Linked DNA regions of Schizosaccharomyces pombe. Changing the gene in region 1 together with any one later gene gives a genetic interaction. Each region holds a gene or a part of one and is shown in the gene's direction. Other genes may lie near its edges.

Region 1 (3,501 bases):
GCAGCCGGTTGTGAAGTAAATTGGAAAAGAAACTGAAAAGAATTTCATTGCTTTTTTATTTATGATGTATGCAATGCACTCGATTTGTAAGCAATTCTGTGTTTGTATTCTTTGTTTGGCTGAAGCTCTAGTTAAGCCATATTGTTGGGCCTAAGTAAATTAAATTTTCAAAAAAAAATTAATAGGCTGTAACTAAATAAAGAGAAAATAAAGAAAATAGATAATAAAAAATATGAAAACAGTTTAACTAAAAATATAGACAGTAGTCTTATGATACTTTATAGAATCTTGTGATATTTTTTTGTATTTACCCTTTTTTTTATTTACACTTGGCTTCTTTCAACAATCCACTCGTTTCAACTGCTTTGCTCGACGCACTCATTACAAAATCCTACAAATTCCCATGTAACCGGAGCCGCATGAGGAGACTTTCAAAAATGTTTTATCTTTGTTTTCTGTCCTCACGGCAATCTGCATTTGTTATTTATTGCTGTGTTAAATATCCATATTTTTCGTCATCCGGCAAAGATCCTCCAACTCGCCTAACAGTGAGGTACTTGTGACCTTGGTTAAAACAAACTTTGACTGTTTTTCTACACTCGGTCCAACAATTTCACATTATAGTTGACACGATTCTACGACATGGCTAACGTGCGTCGCTATTGTACTTGTAAATTTTGTCTGACCAGCTCTTCTTTTCAAAATACATGGCCAAAATGGGTTCCAATAGCTAACTGATTAGTCACCATTTTATGAACAGAATCCAAGTGGCTTTATCAGAAACGCTTTAAAAACCAAAGAGAGTAATTAAAACAAAAAAAATTCAACATAGCATACTTCATGAGGGAGAATGGCTGGTCATTGAGACTTTTCCTTTTCCCTCAACTTCTGTTTATACAATGTTTTAGTATGAGATTCCTGGGCGAATCATTGCCTGCTTGATTCGAGAATAATGCGTGAGCTGTTCGCTATGTTCAATTCTGTTATACATCGCAATATGTCAAATGTTTTATTTCTCTATTCACTGTACATAAATGATACAGGATAGGTTCATCATTGCTTATAGTCAGCTGGATATTATTCATTGATATATAATGAGAGCCTAACAGAACCAGTATTATTCAATTTGGAAATGAACGATCTCAGTGTCAAAATATTCATCACCTTCATAGAAAAATATCCCAAAACAATCGCTAACTTACACTACCTGGGTACCGCGATATAGATAAGTAAATTACAAGGAAAATTCACCACAGCTTAAGGCATCATTAAAACCGGATTACAATTTCATGGTTAATATAAACGCTTAATTCTCTTTCAGTAGTGCGGTTGAATTCTCACTAAAACAGATTAACGAACTCTTCAATATTGCTCCCAATCATCCGACACACGGATTTACTCTAATCTACGATTGTTGATTACTTATTGCAGTTTGCACAGTTTTGGGATTTAGCTATTTTTCATTCTGCCTAATTATCACGCCTTACTGTATCGACGTTTCTTTGTTGATCTTTAACAACTGTCCTTATTTTTTGGTTTTTCGCGGATTTTTTTAATTAGATATACAGTTAACACTTCATTTGTCGGTGTCTTTGTTTTCTTTAATTGTATTTGTATATTTAATTGTTAATTCTTGTTTTGGAAGATTTTATACTTTTTTATTGGTTATACAGCAATATACTTTTTTGAAACTTGATTTTTTGGATATCCCGGAAGTTTTTTTTCTGCTTTTTTTTTTCTTTGGTTTTGTTAGGTCGTAGAAGCTTCACTATCTTTTTACCTAGAAATGGCTGCTAAACACGTAAAATACATGGCTTGTCTATTCGATATGGATGTATGTTTATTTTTCACACCACATTACCTCTTATGAAAGCTTTTGCATTAACAATCACTCTTTTTACAGGGTCTACTTGTCGACAGTGAAACTATTTATACAAAGACGACCAGTATGTAAATAATATATCTGTGCTTATATTTAGCACAAAACTACAATGTTTTCTAATCTTTATTTTTTTTATAGATCTTATATTGGACAGGTATGGCAAGGATCCTCTTCCTATTTCTGTTAAGGCTCAAATGATGGGTATGTTATATAAAGCTAGCGAAGAGATATTTTAAAATGCTTTCAAAATTGCAGGTCTAACTTGCGATACGTAGGGAGACCGGGTTCCGCAGCTGCCAAGGTTGTTATAGATTGGTCCAACATTCCTATGACTCCTCAACAATTCGTTGATGAACAACAGGTTATTCGGGTACGTACTTATACGCTACATTTATTTCCATTTCAACTAACTTTCTGAAAGGCAAAGTTTTGGTCGTCTTTGAAGCCTATGCCTGGGGCTGAATCTTTGATTAATAACCTCTCCAATCATGGAATTGATATCGGGGTATGTACTCATCCCTACGCTATAATAAAAGTGTGCTAACAGCATCACCAGCTTGCTACTTCCTCTAATACCGCAAATTATAATATGAAGACAGCCCATCTTAAACATATTTTTGAGAAATTTGGTAAAAATGTTATTACAGGTGATAATCCTAGTATTGCACCTGGTCGTGGCAAACCTTTTCCAGACATTTGGCTGAAGGTGTTGAATTTAATAAATGAAAGTAGGAAGCAGCGAGGTTTGAAGGCACTTACACCAAGCCAATGCATTGCCTTTGAAGACAGTATTCCCGGTGTCAAAAGTGCAAAGGCTGCAGGAATGCATGTCATTTGGGTTCCAGATGCTGCCATCAAAAACTTGGTAGGGGATCAGCTGAATGAGATTGTTGATTCTCAATGTGAGACGTTACCGAGTCTTTCAGAGTTTGATATAAACAAATATCTTAACATAAATTCAAAGCAGGCCTAGAGGTTATATCCGCTAACTTTTTTTTGGTTCATTCAATTTTTTTTGGCAAAAAACCTCATATCTTTTAATAAAATTAAAAAATTGAAGTATAAATAAAGTTCTACTGTTTCAATGAAAACCTTGAACTGACTCACATAGCATAAATAACTTATGAGTAAAGGGAAAAAGCGAAATCTAAAAAAAAAAAAATAATAACATTTCTCTGAATTCCAAAATCATACATTGTAATTTTTTTCCTTCTTTGCAAATGCCCTTGAAAAGTCAAGAAGCACCGCAGGGATTAAACGAAAGAGACTTATTCAGAAATTCAACTTCTCACTTTTGTAAAGCATATATCATAGAGACAGGATTAAAATAAAAAAGGACTAAAACAAGTAAAAAAAGAAGGAAAAGGAAACAGGTATAAAAGGAATCGCGATTCTTTAAAGGTGCAAAAGATTTAGGGGCTATAAGAAGATATATATATACTCACAGTATACTTTTTGAGGGTCAAATGACATTAAAAACCGCTGATTGCGGCCTGAAGCGAAAAAAAATAATTCACGAAACAGTTAGAGTACACTGACATGTTCAATGAGATACACTAGCAATTGCAGCTGCTTTCATTCTCGTTAGGCTGAATGCTAACGTCAATCATTTGAGTGCT
Region 2 (7,117 bases), 3.5 Mb from region 1:
ACCAATGTCCAACAAGTCAAAATTAAATCCCCTTTCAAGTCCCTGATCAAATACCTGACGAGATCGTTGGATAGCATCCAAAAATGCTGAGGGATCATAGCTTCCTGACCCAACGTGAAAGCTAACACCGACGACATTTAACTCCAGGGACTTTGCGATGTCTAGCAGCTTACCAGTATCATCGAGAGAAGCACCAAACTTTAGACTGAGACGGCAAAGACTATTGGAATCATCGGTAGAAATACGAAGAAGAAGACGTGAGTTGGGATGATGTTGTTTCACCTTGTACAGCTCATCGGCATTATCAAAAGTCATCAGATTAATGCCTTTAGAAGCAGCATAGCGCACATAAGTTATGGCTTTACAAGGATTGGCGTATACAATTCGATCAGGGGATACACCTAAGCCAAGAATTTGTTCGAGTTCACCCTTAGAAGCACAGTCAAAACCAGTTCCAAATTTATTAAGCAATGCAAGTACCTTAGGATCAGGATTACATTTGACTGCATAAAATGGTTGAACACGAGGTAATTTAGCATGCCAACGAAGAAGTTGGCGATATACTCCGTTCAAATCAGCAACAAAAAATGCATCAGAGTCAGCGGGTTCACCACGGACAGCTGCACGCTCAATTTCCTCAATCGTGTTTTTAAACGCCTCACCAATCGCCTGGCGAGACGATCCAGGCGAAGACCATGTCACCACTGAGTCAATTGGTTTAACATGGCCAAGTAATTCCGTCGTACGCAACGACTCGCTGACGAGCATATTCTTTTCCATAATAGCAGGCATCGTGTAAGTAAGCTTTTTCTCTTCTAGAAATTCCGAGATCACTAAATTGAATCGTTGAATAATTTTTCTTCGGATACAAGCTAAACAAACGTTTTGTTTGTCAACTGCTCGCTTTACAATAATTTTACTATTTCAAATCAATCAATGATTTGAAATCTGCTGTTGATCAAAAAGTCCTTATTCGAGAGATTGTCTTAAATAGGAGACGTAGACGGAAATTTGCACTTTTATATACTTTTGGTGGTCGCGCAAAAAGAGCGTTTATCCTTCCAGATTCTTTTTCTTACCCACTTGTCACTGTTTTCTGCTAATTCCCAATCGTGTTGTTGGTTAAGGGTAAGTTCAATTTTGCAATGTGTGCGTACATAAAAAAATATTACACACTAGTAGAATTAACCTTAGTTTAGCGTTTGTCTTATTGACATAATAGTCTAACAAATCGAATTGCAATGTAATACGGTAAACGCAGTTTGGTTTAACAATATTTGCGACGACAAGAATCCTTCAAACTAGGATATTTCTTTAATATGTATACAATCTTTAGTTTATATTTTGTACTTTAGTTTATGACAATAACAATAATCTTTGTCCAGTGAAGGTGACATCACTTTTAAAAACTTTCCTACCAGTTTACGTTTTATTTAGAATTTATATTTTTTTGCTAATTGAATTAAACTTGGTAATCGATATATACTTAAAGGATGAGCACAGTGTTTTAGCAATAAGGAATAGTGTGTTTGTACAATACCGAGTAAAAAGGGCTCTTTCTTTTAGCCAGCAAATGAGATATTAAGTGTATCGGTAATTTTAATAGTATTTACAATTTACTTACTAATTAACGTAGATGTTATTTCTTAGGTAATTTTGAGTTCTAATTCGTGTTTGTACTGATTCAACCGTGAATAATAGAATTCCCTTACAAACGATTTATCGATATTTACCTTGTCGTACTTTTAAACCAAAAAAAAAAAGAGGGAAGAAAGGTGGGGAAAAAATACCAAAGTAATATTCGACTCTGCAAGCTTTAGCAAAAAAAAAGTGGCACATGTTTTAATCAAGACACTTTTTGCCCACAACTAAGAACAAAAGCACATAACACAATGCCTACCCTTTTGTGTTCTTGAGGGTTTATATATTTTCGTTTATTTCTTTGTACATTAAAGAATTCTATTCATTCTAAAATTTTTAAGTCTATTGGTTCAAAACACGACTGTATTTAATTAAGAGAGGGAACATTATGGACCGAACTAAGAGGCGAAAAATAGAGAAGGAGGCTTCCTTACTAAATGAAAGAAACAACCTTTTGGAAAGTGATTTCGCCAATTGCTACCGTGCATTCCAGCACCAACTCAAGCTAGACCAGCAGATATGGCGTGGACCAGAGGACGAGTTAAATCGGCTAAAGTCTACTATTTATCCTGTCGTTTTTTGGGTTGATGGATCTGAGAAACTACATGCATATAGTTTTACTCAAAGAAAAATTTCATTGGCCAAAAACTTGATTCCTTTGTTTTCTGTCGACTTGAATAAGGATACTTACTCTGCTTTAAAAGCACCTCTCAAAATTTGGAGTAAGCTTTGGGAGGATAATAGGCGGCTGAAGAAAATTATAAAATACACATCTTATGTTACTGTAAAAGGATCCGAGTTAATTTTGTCGTTTGGCATTTCCATACTCGACTCTTTTCTTGCCCCTCAAGATGCGATTCTTTCATCTGGATCATCTTCCTCATACACTGCTTTACTAGACTATACGTTCCTTCCGTCTGAAGATGAGGAATATTCTTGTTTAGATATTAACACTGCACTATTTTACGATTGTGCAAGAAAATTGGCAAAAAGCCTACGTTTCGCCAATGTATCACGCGATCCAAGGCTTTCTTCGGAACTTTTACCATTTCAAATGCGTGTTTTAGAATGGATGAAACGAAGAGAAGAAGAGAAATTCCTAACCTCAAATGATTTACCACCTCTATGGTACCATTGCAAAAGTCTTTTTGATGATCGAATGGTTTACGTTAATCATGTTTACGGCTATATGACATTTTCGAAAGAAAAAACATATTTGCTTGCGTCCGGTGATATACGTGGAGGCATTTTAGCCGATGAAATGGGCATGGGAAAAACTTTGGAAGTCTTAGGATTAGTTTTGCATCATCAGTTGCCAATTTCTTTGACTGATACTTGTACTTTCGATCAGGTCGTCGGAAAAAATGTAAAGTATTCCAAGGCCACCCTAATAATTACGCCTTCTACAATTCTCGATCAATGGTTATCTGAGATAGATTTGCATGTGCCATCATTGAAAGTATTCCATTACCAAGGAATCCGAAAATCCAATGGTTTGAAATCAGCTAAAATTTTTTTGGATTGTGATATAGTGGTAACATCTTATTCTGATTTACGGTTTGAGCTATTGTACACTGAATCTCATTCCAGGACCTTAAGACATGAAAAGCGACATGTTTCTCCAAAGTCTCCATTGATTGATGTATGTTGGTGGAGAATTTGTGTTGATGAAGCTCAGATGGTTGAAACTTCACAGAGTAATGTCGCACAAATGATTTATCGCATACCTCGTGTCAATTGTTGGACTGTAAGTGGAACTCCCGTACGTAGTGAAGTTGATGACCTTTTTGGCCTTTTATTTCTTCTTCGCTACTCCCCTATGTATTTATACAAAAAACAAGCTTGGATGCAAATTATAGAGAAGAAACGTGTTCGTGAATTTTGCGATCTGTTTGGCTCCCTTGTATGCAGACATTCTAAACAGGACGTTGAAGAAGAATTAAAATTACCTCCTCAACATCGAATCTGCATGACTACAAGACTTAGTGTAGTAGAAGAAACGAACTACCAGGATTTATTATCAGAGGCGGCCAAGTCTTTGCACTTTTTCAAAGACAGAAATTTGGATTTGTGTGACGAAGAATCTATGAGGCGTTGGTTGGTTCGTTTACGACAGGCATGTTGCCATCCGCAGGTTGGATTTGGTAACAAATCCGCATTTGGAGGTGGACCCATGAAAAGCATTAATGATGTATTAGTTTTTATGTTGGAACAAACAAACTCTACATTCTCCTCGTTAAACAGGAAGCTTTATTCCGATAAGATTATTGTTGGTCAAATATATGATCATATTAAAGACTATAATAAAGCATTGGCTATTTGGTCTGAAGTCAGAATACCTGTCGAGCTCGCTGTCAAAGAATTAGAAAATGTTATTTACAACTCTAAATATGAGGACCATGGTAAAAATTTACCGATTAATTATTTTGGTTTGGATCATTTCATTCATCTGCGTGTTTGGTATGTTCTATTGCATAAAATATACTTTTTTATAGCAAGCGCTTATTTTTCTTTAAAAAACGAAAAGTTTGAAAATGAATTTTATTTGCTCGCGCAGGATTTAAGAAGGAAGATTATGAGTGATGTGATTATCAAAACCAGCAAGCACCTTGAAGAGTTTTCAGAAAAATTTATTCCAAAGAAACTTGTCAAAATACCACGATTACAGAAATCTTACGCAAAAGGTCTCATAACCGGACATGGTATAATTGAAGACTATAATAGACTTTATAAAGAGTTGAATGATCAAAAGGAGGTGCTTATAAAATTTAGAGATCGGCTTATCCATTTGATGAAACTTCCACTTCTGGATCAAGAATCGGATCCGACCGGCGATGAATACGAAGAATCATTGAATGCGCAATCAGAGATATCCTATTGTATTGATGTTTACCGTCAAATGCTTTCAGATCGAGTAGCGGCAGTCAGCGGTACTATTAATACCTTTGTGTCTCATGAAACAGAACTTGAGAAATACAAACTTATAGAGAGTATAAAAAAATCGGAGAAATCGTTAGACAAGCAGGCTGAAGAACGTGATAAAAAATATTTGCTTTACTTTGAGGAAAGGGAAGAAGCAAGGCCAAAAGCAGATCAATACGGATCATTAATAAATATAGTTTCAAGACTGTTAGATGCATCAAATAGATCCACCTCAAGTTTTGAAACTTCTAAAAACATGGAAGAATATGAACGGATTGATGCAATGGCAAAGGAGCAATCTAGAATTTGCCAAAAATTGGAAAAAGAATTGAGTATAATTCAGTTGACTTATAATTCAAGGATTGAGTACTATAAACAGCTGCAGGAAATTTCTGACTCTTTGATGCCTCCTCCCGTTTCAAATATCAGTTTAAACAATTACGTTAAAGACGACGAAAAAAAACAAAAATTTTTGAACTCTGTTATAATTAAAGCTTCGGTGATTTTGGAAAAAGAAATTTCAGAAAAGCAGGACGAAGCAAGTCAAACAACAAACGTAGCAGAACTCGTCAATCAAAAAATATCCGAAATGAATATACCTGGACATATCCATCTGCTGCGAGAGCTAGAAGAGGAAAAAAGCAATACCCAACGTAAAATTGCTCACTTCGAATCAAGGAGAAGGTATTTAACAAACCTATATGAACATATTGTCCTTAAAGCTGAATCTCATCAGATTTGTATAATTTGTCGTGATATAATTAAGCAAGGTTTTATAACAACTTGTGGTAAGTATTTGTTGGATCGTTTATCTAGTTAACTTGTTAGGCCATTTGTACTGTAGTTTTTGTTTGGAAGCGTGGTTGAAGCATAGTTCGTCGTGTCCAATGTGCAAAACCAAATTGAACAAAAATAATGCTTACTATATTGGCGAAAGTAGGGATATATACTCTCGTCAAGAGTTTGTCACTGGTTTCAACAAACGAGACGAAAGGCTTGAAATTCTCGACGATGAAGCATACAGGCAAATTTCTAATATGGAGTTAAAGGAGTCATTTGGATCAAAAATTGACACAATATCTAAACATCTTTTGGTAAGCAACATTTGTATTTAGAGTGGATCTAACTTTAGTATTTGAAACATAACGAACTTTATCCTAAAGTTGTTGTATTCTCTCAATGGCTTGATGTTTTGGATGTTTTGCACAAGTCATTTGAAGCGAATGGTATCGTCTTCATACGTTTTGATGGAAAGTCAAAGAACACTTGCCTAAAAAGGTTTAAAGAAGAACGTAGCTTACAAGTACTTACTTTACATGCAAGATCGCAATCGTATGTTTAAACTGTTTAATTATTTGTTCTAATCTTCATTAGATCTGGTTTGACGTTAACAAATGCCACTCACGTTTTCATGTGTACGTCGATATCTGTATTAACAAGTTTTAACATTGACAGGTGAACCATTACTAAATAGTGGAATTGAAATGCAAGCAATTTCACGCGTTCATCGAATTGGGCAAACTCGTCCGACGTTTGTTTACTACTACATTGTGGAAGATACTGTTGAAGGTCATATTTTAAATCTTTCATTGACCAAACATGAGCAGCTTGACAAACTAGGTTTGGATGTACCGCTAGTTGGTAATATCAATCGCACTACTGAAGCTAGCAGCGGCGGAGAACAAGTTGATGCCGCAGAAATTAAAGATTGTCTTAAAATGGCTTTAAAGCGGCTCACCACAGAGGATTCATGAACATGAAAAAATTGATTTTAGAGAATGATGCTGATAGGTCAGGTTTAAACAGAATAAACGGCAATACTGTACTACTTATTGGTGACAGTGATGTATGGTTAATCCTGAAGTACCCCTTCGCTCAATACTGTTCAATTATTCATCTGTTATTAAAGCAAAGCACGAAGCATTAGTTGGTTTTCACTGGTTAGATTGTGCAAACACTTAGAGTCCGAATTACAGGAAACTTATACTTAATTTAACATTGTACTGTTGTATTAATTATAACCACTTTTTTAAATACAAACCTATGTAAATATTAGAAATTAATATAGCAAGAAAGGTCGCATTTCTCATTCTGGGTATTGGATTAAAACATATTGTCTTTGTTTTTCATTGATATCAGCGATGTTACTGGGCTATTAAATGCGATGTTAATTTATAACTATAACTATAGAATGAACATACGTTTGTGCTACGAATATACACTCGTTGTTATTAAGTTATCTTTTTTTTTTTAATAAAAATGAACAGGACTATTTGAACTATGAAACGTAAGTTCTTTTAGCATCATATTCAATTATAGTTAAACAAAATTGTTTATTACTATTAAAATAACACTGATTATCTTTGGAGACATACTTTATATCAAATTACAATAATTATTAATAAAACTCATTGCAATTTATTTTTCTCAACTGCGTTAGCTAATTCACTGCTACGCGATATAACTAATTAACGATTGCTGCTTCAGCTCGATAATTCCTTTTCGTCAAGGATACATTGCGATATAGTCTTAAGAGAGCAAACTGCATAAAGCC
Region 3 (3,565 bases), on another chromosome or scaffold:
GCCAATTCAAAATTACGATTAATTAAAGTAAAAAATAAATATTAAATAATCTAACTGATTACTGATTTTGATTCGTACATTTCATATAAAAGGGAGAAAGTATATCCCAACATCGTTTATAGACATTTTCTTTGAACCATCTCCTCACCATAGCACAGTAAACATTACATAGCGATACGCAAAATAGCACCACTATGTTTGACACAATCATCACTCCAATTCACTACGCTTCATTTGCGCATCCAACATGTCTCACTAAAGTTGGCTGGTTCGTACATATTCACCCTTGTCAACTGCGTATATCCCGAATTCAATAAACGTGTTATTTTGACGCGCATATACGTCTATATTCATAATGTCAGATTACAAGAGTCTTAAAGTTGCAGAACTGCGTGAAAAACTTGCGGAGAAAGGCCTCTCCACTGCTGGAAACAAAGCTGAATTGGTAAGCCGATTGACAGCAGCGACCGAGAGTAACGATGAAAATACTTCGAATAACAACGCTACAGATCTAGGAGATCTTGCTCCTCCCGAGGATGATATTGATTGGGGAGACATGGAGAATGATACTATTTCAACTGACGTTAACAAGCCAGCAGAACCCGAAAGTAAAGAGACCAGTGCTCCTGCCGCTGCTGTAGAGATTGAAAAGGAAAATGAAAGCATTATTTCGAAAGAGACTTCACAAGCTCCTGAAACTTCCACTGGTGCTGAAGAGCATCAAGAAACCACAGAGGAATCCAAACAAAGTGTATCTAATGAAGTCTCTAGCCCAGATGTAGCTAAAGAGCAAGAAAAACTCATCCAAAGGGCTAAACGATTTGGCATTCCTGTGGACGATGAACAAATTAAGAAAGCTGCTCGTGCTGCACGTTTTGGCATTCAACAACCTTTAGCGTCAAGTAATAACAAAAACCATAATCAATCTAAGAACCCTCAAAATCGTTCCAACTCACGTTCTAAACAAAGAAATAAGAATGCGCCTCCTAAAAGTGCTCCATCCAAGCGGAAGAGTAATATTTTGGACGACCCTATAGAGGCAGAAAAAGCTAGGAAGCGTGCTGAGCGCTTTGGTGTTGCTGCCAAGAATTAAAGTAACCATTTAACATATTTTAACTTCTTATTTTACAATATGACTCATGTTTCTTGAAGTTTTCTCCTCATGCCATGCTTTATTTGTATGCTTAATGCTTTTTTGATGAATTAGAACTTTTGAATTCCTATTTGTGTATATAAATTATACCCAGACTTTTGCTTCACTTTAAACAACTTATCCGAGTACAAGCATCCGATATTGGAGCCCTAAACGCTTCTAATTTCAATCCTACCTTTTAGGTGTGTTTTAAAACATCTGTGAAAACTCGGTTTTATTTTTTTAATAGCTTTTTGGGGCGTGATGTAAGTATTTCCTAGGCGAATTCTTTAATAGTTACCTATACTCATATGTTTTCCATTTTTAAAAAACTCTTCGTTCTAATCGTTTTGACATACACATTCGTTACAAAGATTTTCCACTCTGCTATCCATATGTATATATTTTGATGAGCTTATTTGTATTTAAGAAAAAGAGAAGGATTGTAATGTTTATATGATGTATCCACCTTTACTTCCAACAATGTCGAAATTCTTAATTTTTGTACATAAACTATTTTCTACAGGTTGGAATTTTATTTTTTTATTATACCTTTTTGTTTCTCAACTTCGGACTTCTTCTGTAACGTGCGACTTTACCTGTTTTGCTGTCATCGGTAAGTAAGAAAAAGTGAAAAATTTGACATTGCTGGCTGTAATGTTCTTTTGCGTTTTCTCAATTAGAGTCAATTAAAATGCCTTTTAATGGGAAAGAGTAACATCATTGTTTGTTTACATGTTGAAGTTTGTTTGTTTACAAACATGGCTTTTTAATCGACTTTTCTCAGAGCCACCTTCACCGTGTCTCAGCTACCCATTATTACAAAGTTTTGACTTTTCAACTCAACTAGTATCGCTACCTTTAAGAATATAAGAGTTGTTTCTATATCTTTTAATCCAGCCTCTATCCTGTTTACGCATCATGAATGCGAAATTATCTTCCTCCGGAATGGTACTGAAAGAGCTTCCGGAAGTCGCTTTGCAAAAGATAAGCTCAAACTACTATTGGGCTGTTTTTGCAGTGTTCCTGCTGTGCGCAATTGTCTTTCCTTTAGTATCGATATTCAGTTTGCCTCAAAAGCAGACTTACCACCGTTTCTTTTCCATCCTCAGTTTGGTTTCTTGCTTGGCCTACTTTACCATGGCCTGCAATTATGGATTGAAAAATGTGTTTTCTTCTGCTTCTTTTTTTCGAGAAGTTAGTGTACGAATGGTTTACTATGTTCGCTATATTCAATGGTTAATCAATTTCCCATTAATCATCGTAATGCTACATTGGACGGTAGGCGTATCTATACTAGAAATTGCATATGTCGTTTGCTATGTGCTTTTTGCGATTGTTTGCTTACTGGCGGCAGCATTAACTTCATCTCCCTATAAATGGGCCTATTACGGATTTTCGTTTGTAGGCTATTTTATTGCATTGGCACACTCAGTCGTTTTGCATAAAAAGTATGCTAGCCGTTTAGAGACGTCTGCGCGCCTAGGGTTTTTATGGTCAATTGTTTACTTACATGTCATTTGGTTCCTCTATTATGCATGTTGGATTTTATCTGAGGGCCTCAATGTTATCTCGCCAATTGGAGAAGCCATATTTTACAGTATATTAGATCTTTTCGAATTCGGCTTTTTTGGCGCTGCTTTTTCTTGGATGCTAGACTTGGTTGGTATTGAAAACTTTAAATCGCCTCAATCGATACCCTTAGGGGCATGCAGTCCTGCTGATGACAAGTTTTCAATGTGTCCGGACATGGAGGCACAAAACCAAGCTGATGATTTGGCCGTTGAAACTCGCATTCAAATTTCCAATTTACCTTCTTCACCTACGAAAAATAATTGCTAATAACAGTACGCATCGTTGCAGTTATCTTTGCTTAGTTATAGAAATTTACCTTCCGTTTTTTTTTTTTTTGTTTTTTAATCATTATTTGTTTCCTGAATGTTTAAAACAAACTCGAAGTTTCGCTACGAGAATTTCGTTGGCATTCTAAAACACAAACACTTTTTCGTGAAAAATTACGATTATGAAAACGAAATAATTATTATAAAAACGAAACCTTTGAACAATTATTAACGTTCATTCGCACTTGAAACGTCTAAATTTACGACGGTGAGTCATTGTTTACGTGAAAAAAGCATTATACTAGTTTTAGTTTAAGATTATTCGTAAATCATTTGCATAACTTTTACGAAACTTTACAAGGCATAGCTAATATTAATACAAAAATTTGCTGTTGAGATACAATATACGTTTAAACATTTCATAGAATAATAAATAAAAACTAAAAAAAAGAAACAAATAGTGCCCAAAATGGTAAATAGCCACTTTCAACGAATGAAGTAAGTAAAACTAGCATGAGCGATGCAAGTTTGCAAAGTGTTATGGGTATTTAAAGTCGAGCAGACTTAGAAGTATTATTTTCGTTTGGCTCAC

The links.
Region 2: mutations in pud1 (region 1) and irc20 together harm fitness less than expected from each alone (positive genetic interaction), as found in Schizosaccharomyces pombe (one large-scale study listed by BioGRID).
Region 3: mutations in pud1 (region 1) and mug73 together harm fitness less than expected from each alone (positive genetic interaction), as found in Schizosaccharomyces pombe (one large-scale study listed by BioGRID).

Annotation. Positions count from the first base shown.
Region 1 is NC_003424.3:1,190,759-1,194,259, forward strand, and holds pud1 (pseudouridine-5'-phosphatase Pud1), read left to right. Parts: upstream 1-1,742; 5' UTR 1,743-1,786; coding exon 1,787-1,834; intron 1,835-1,903; coding exon 1,904-1,946; exon of another isoform or gene 1,947-2,020; coding exon 2,021-2,083; exon of another isoform or gene 2,084-2,157; coding exon 2,158-2,252; exon of another isoform or gene 2,253-2,303; coding exon 2,304-2,387; exon of another isoform or gene 2,388-2,438; coding exon 2,439-2,855; 3' UTR 2,856-2,998; downstream 2,999-3,501. Other genes in the region: Rab family GTPase Ryh1, read right to left, coding at 3,439-3,501.
Region 2 is NC_003424.3:4,657,227-4,664,343, forward strand, and holds irc20 (ATP-dependent DNA helicase), read left to right. Parts: upstream 1-1,870; 5' UTR 1,871-2,029; coding exon 2,030-5,351; intron 5,352-5,370; exon of another isoform or gene 5,371-5,391; coding exon 5,392-5,657; intron 5,658-5,695; coding exon 5,696-5,895; intron 5,896-5,937; coding exon 5,938-5,978; intron 5,979-6,018; coding exon 6,019-6,317; 3' UTR 6,318-6,617; downstream 6,618-7,117. Other genes in the region: ornithine decarboxylase Spe1, read right to left, coding at 1-792.
Region 3 is NC_003421.2:623,016-626,580, reverse strand, and holds mug73 (transporter mug73), read left to right. Parts: upstream 1-2,053; coding exon 2,054-2,974; 3' UTR 2,975-3,065; downstream 3,066-3,565. Other genes in the region: RNA-binding protein mlo1, read left to right, coding at 356-1,093; msy1 (MS ion channel protein 1), read right to left, coding at 3,522-3,565. UniProt on the Schizosaccharomyces pombe protein: Has a role in meiosis.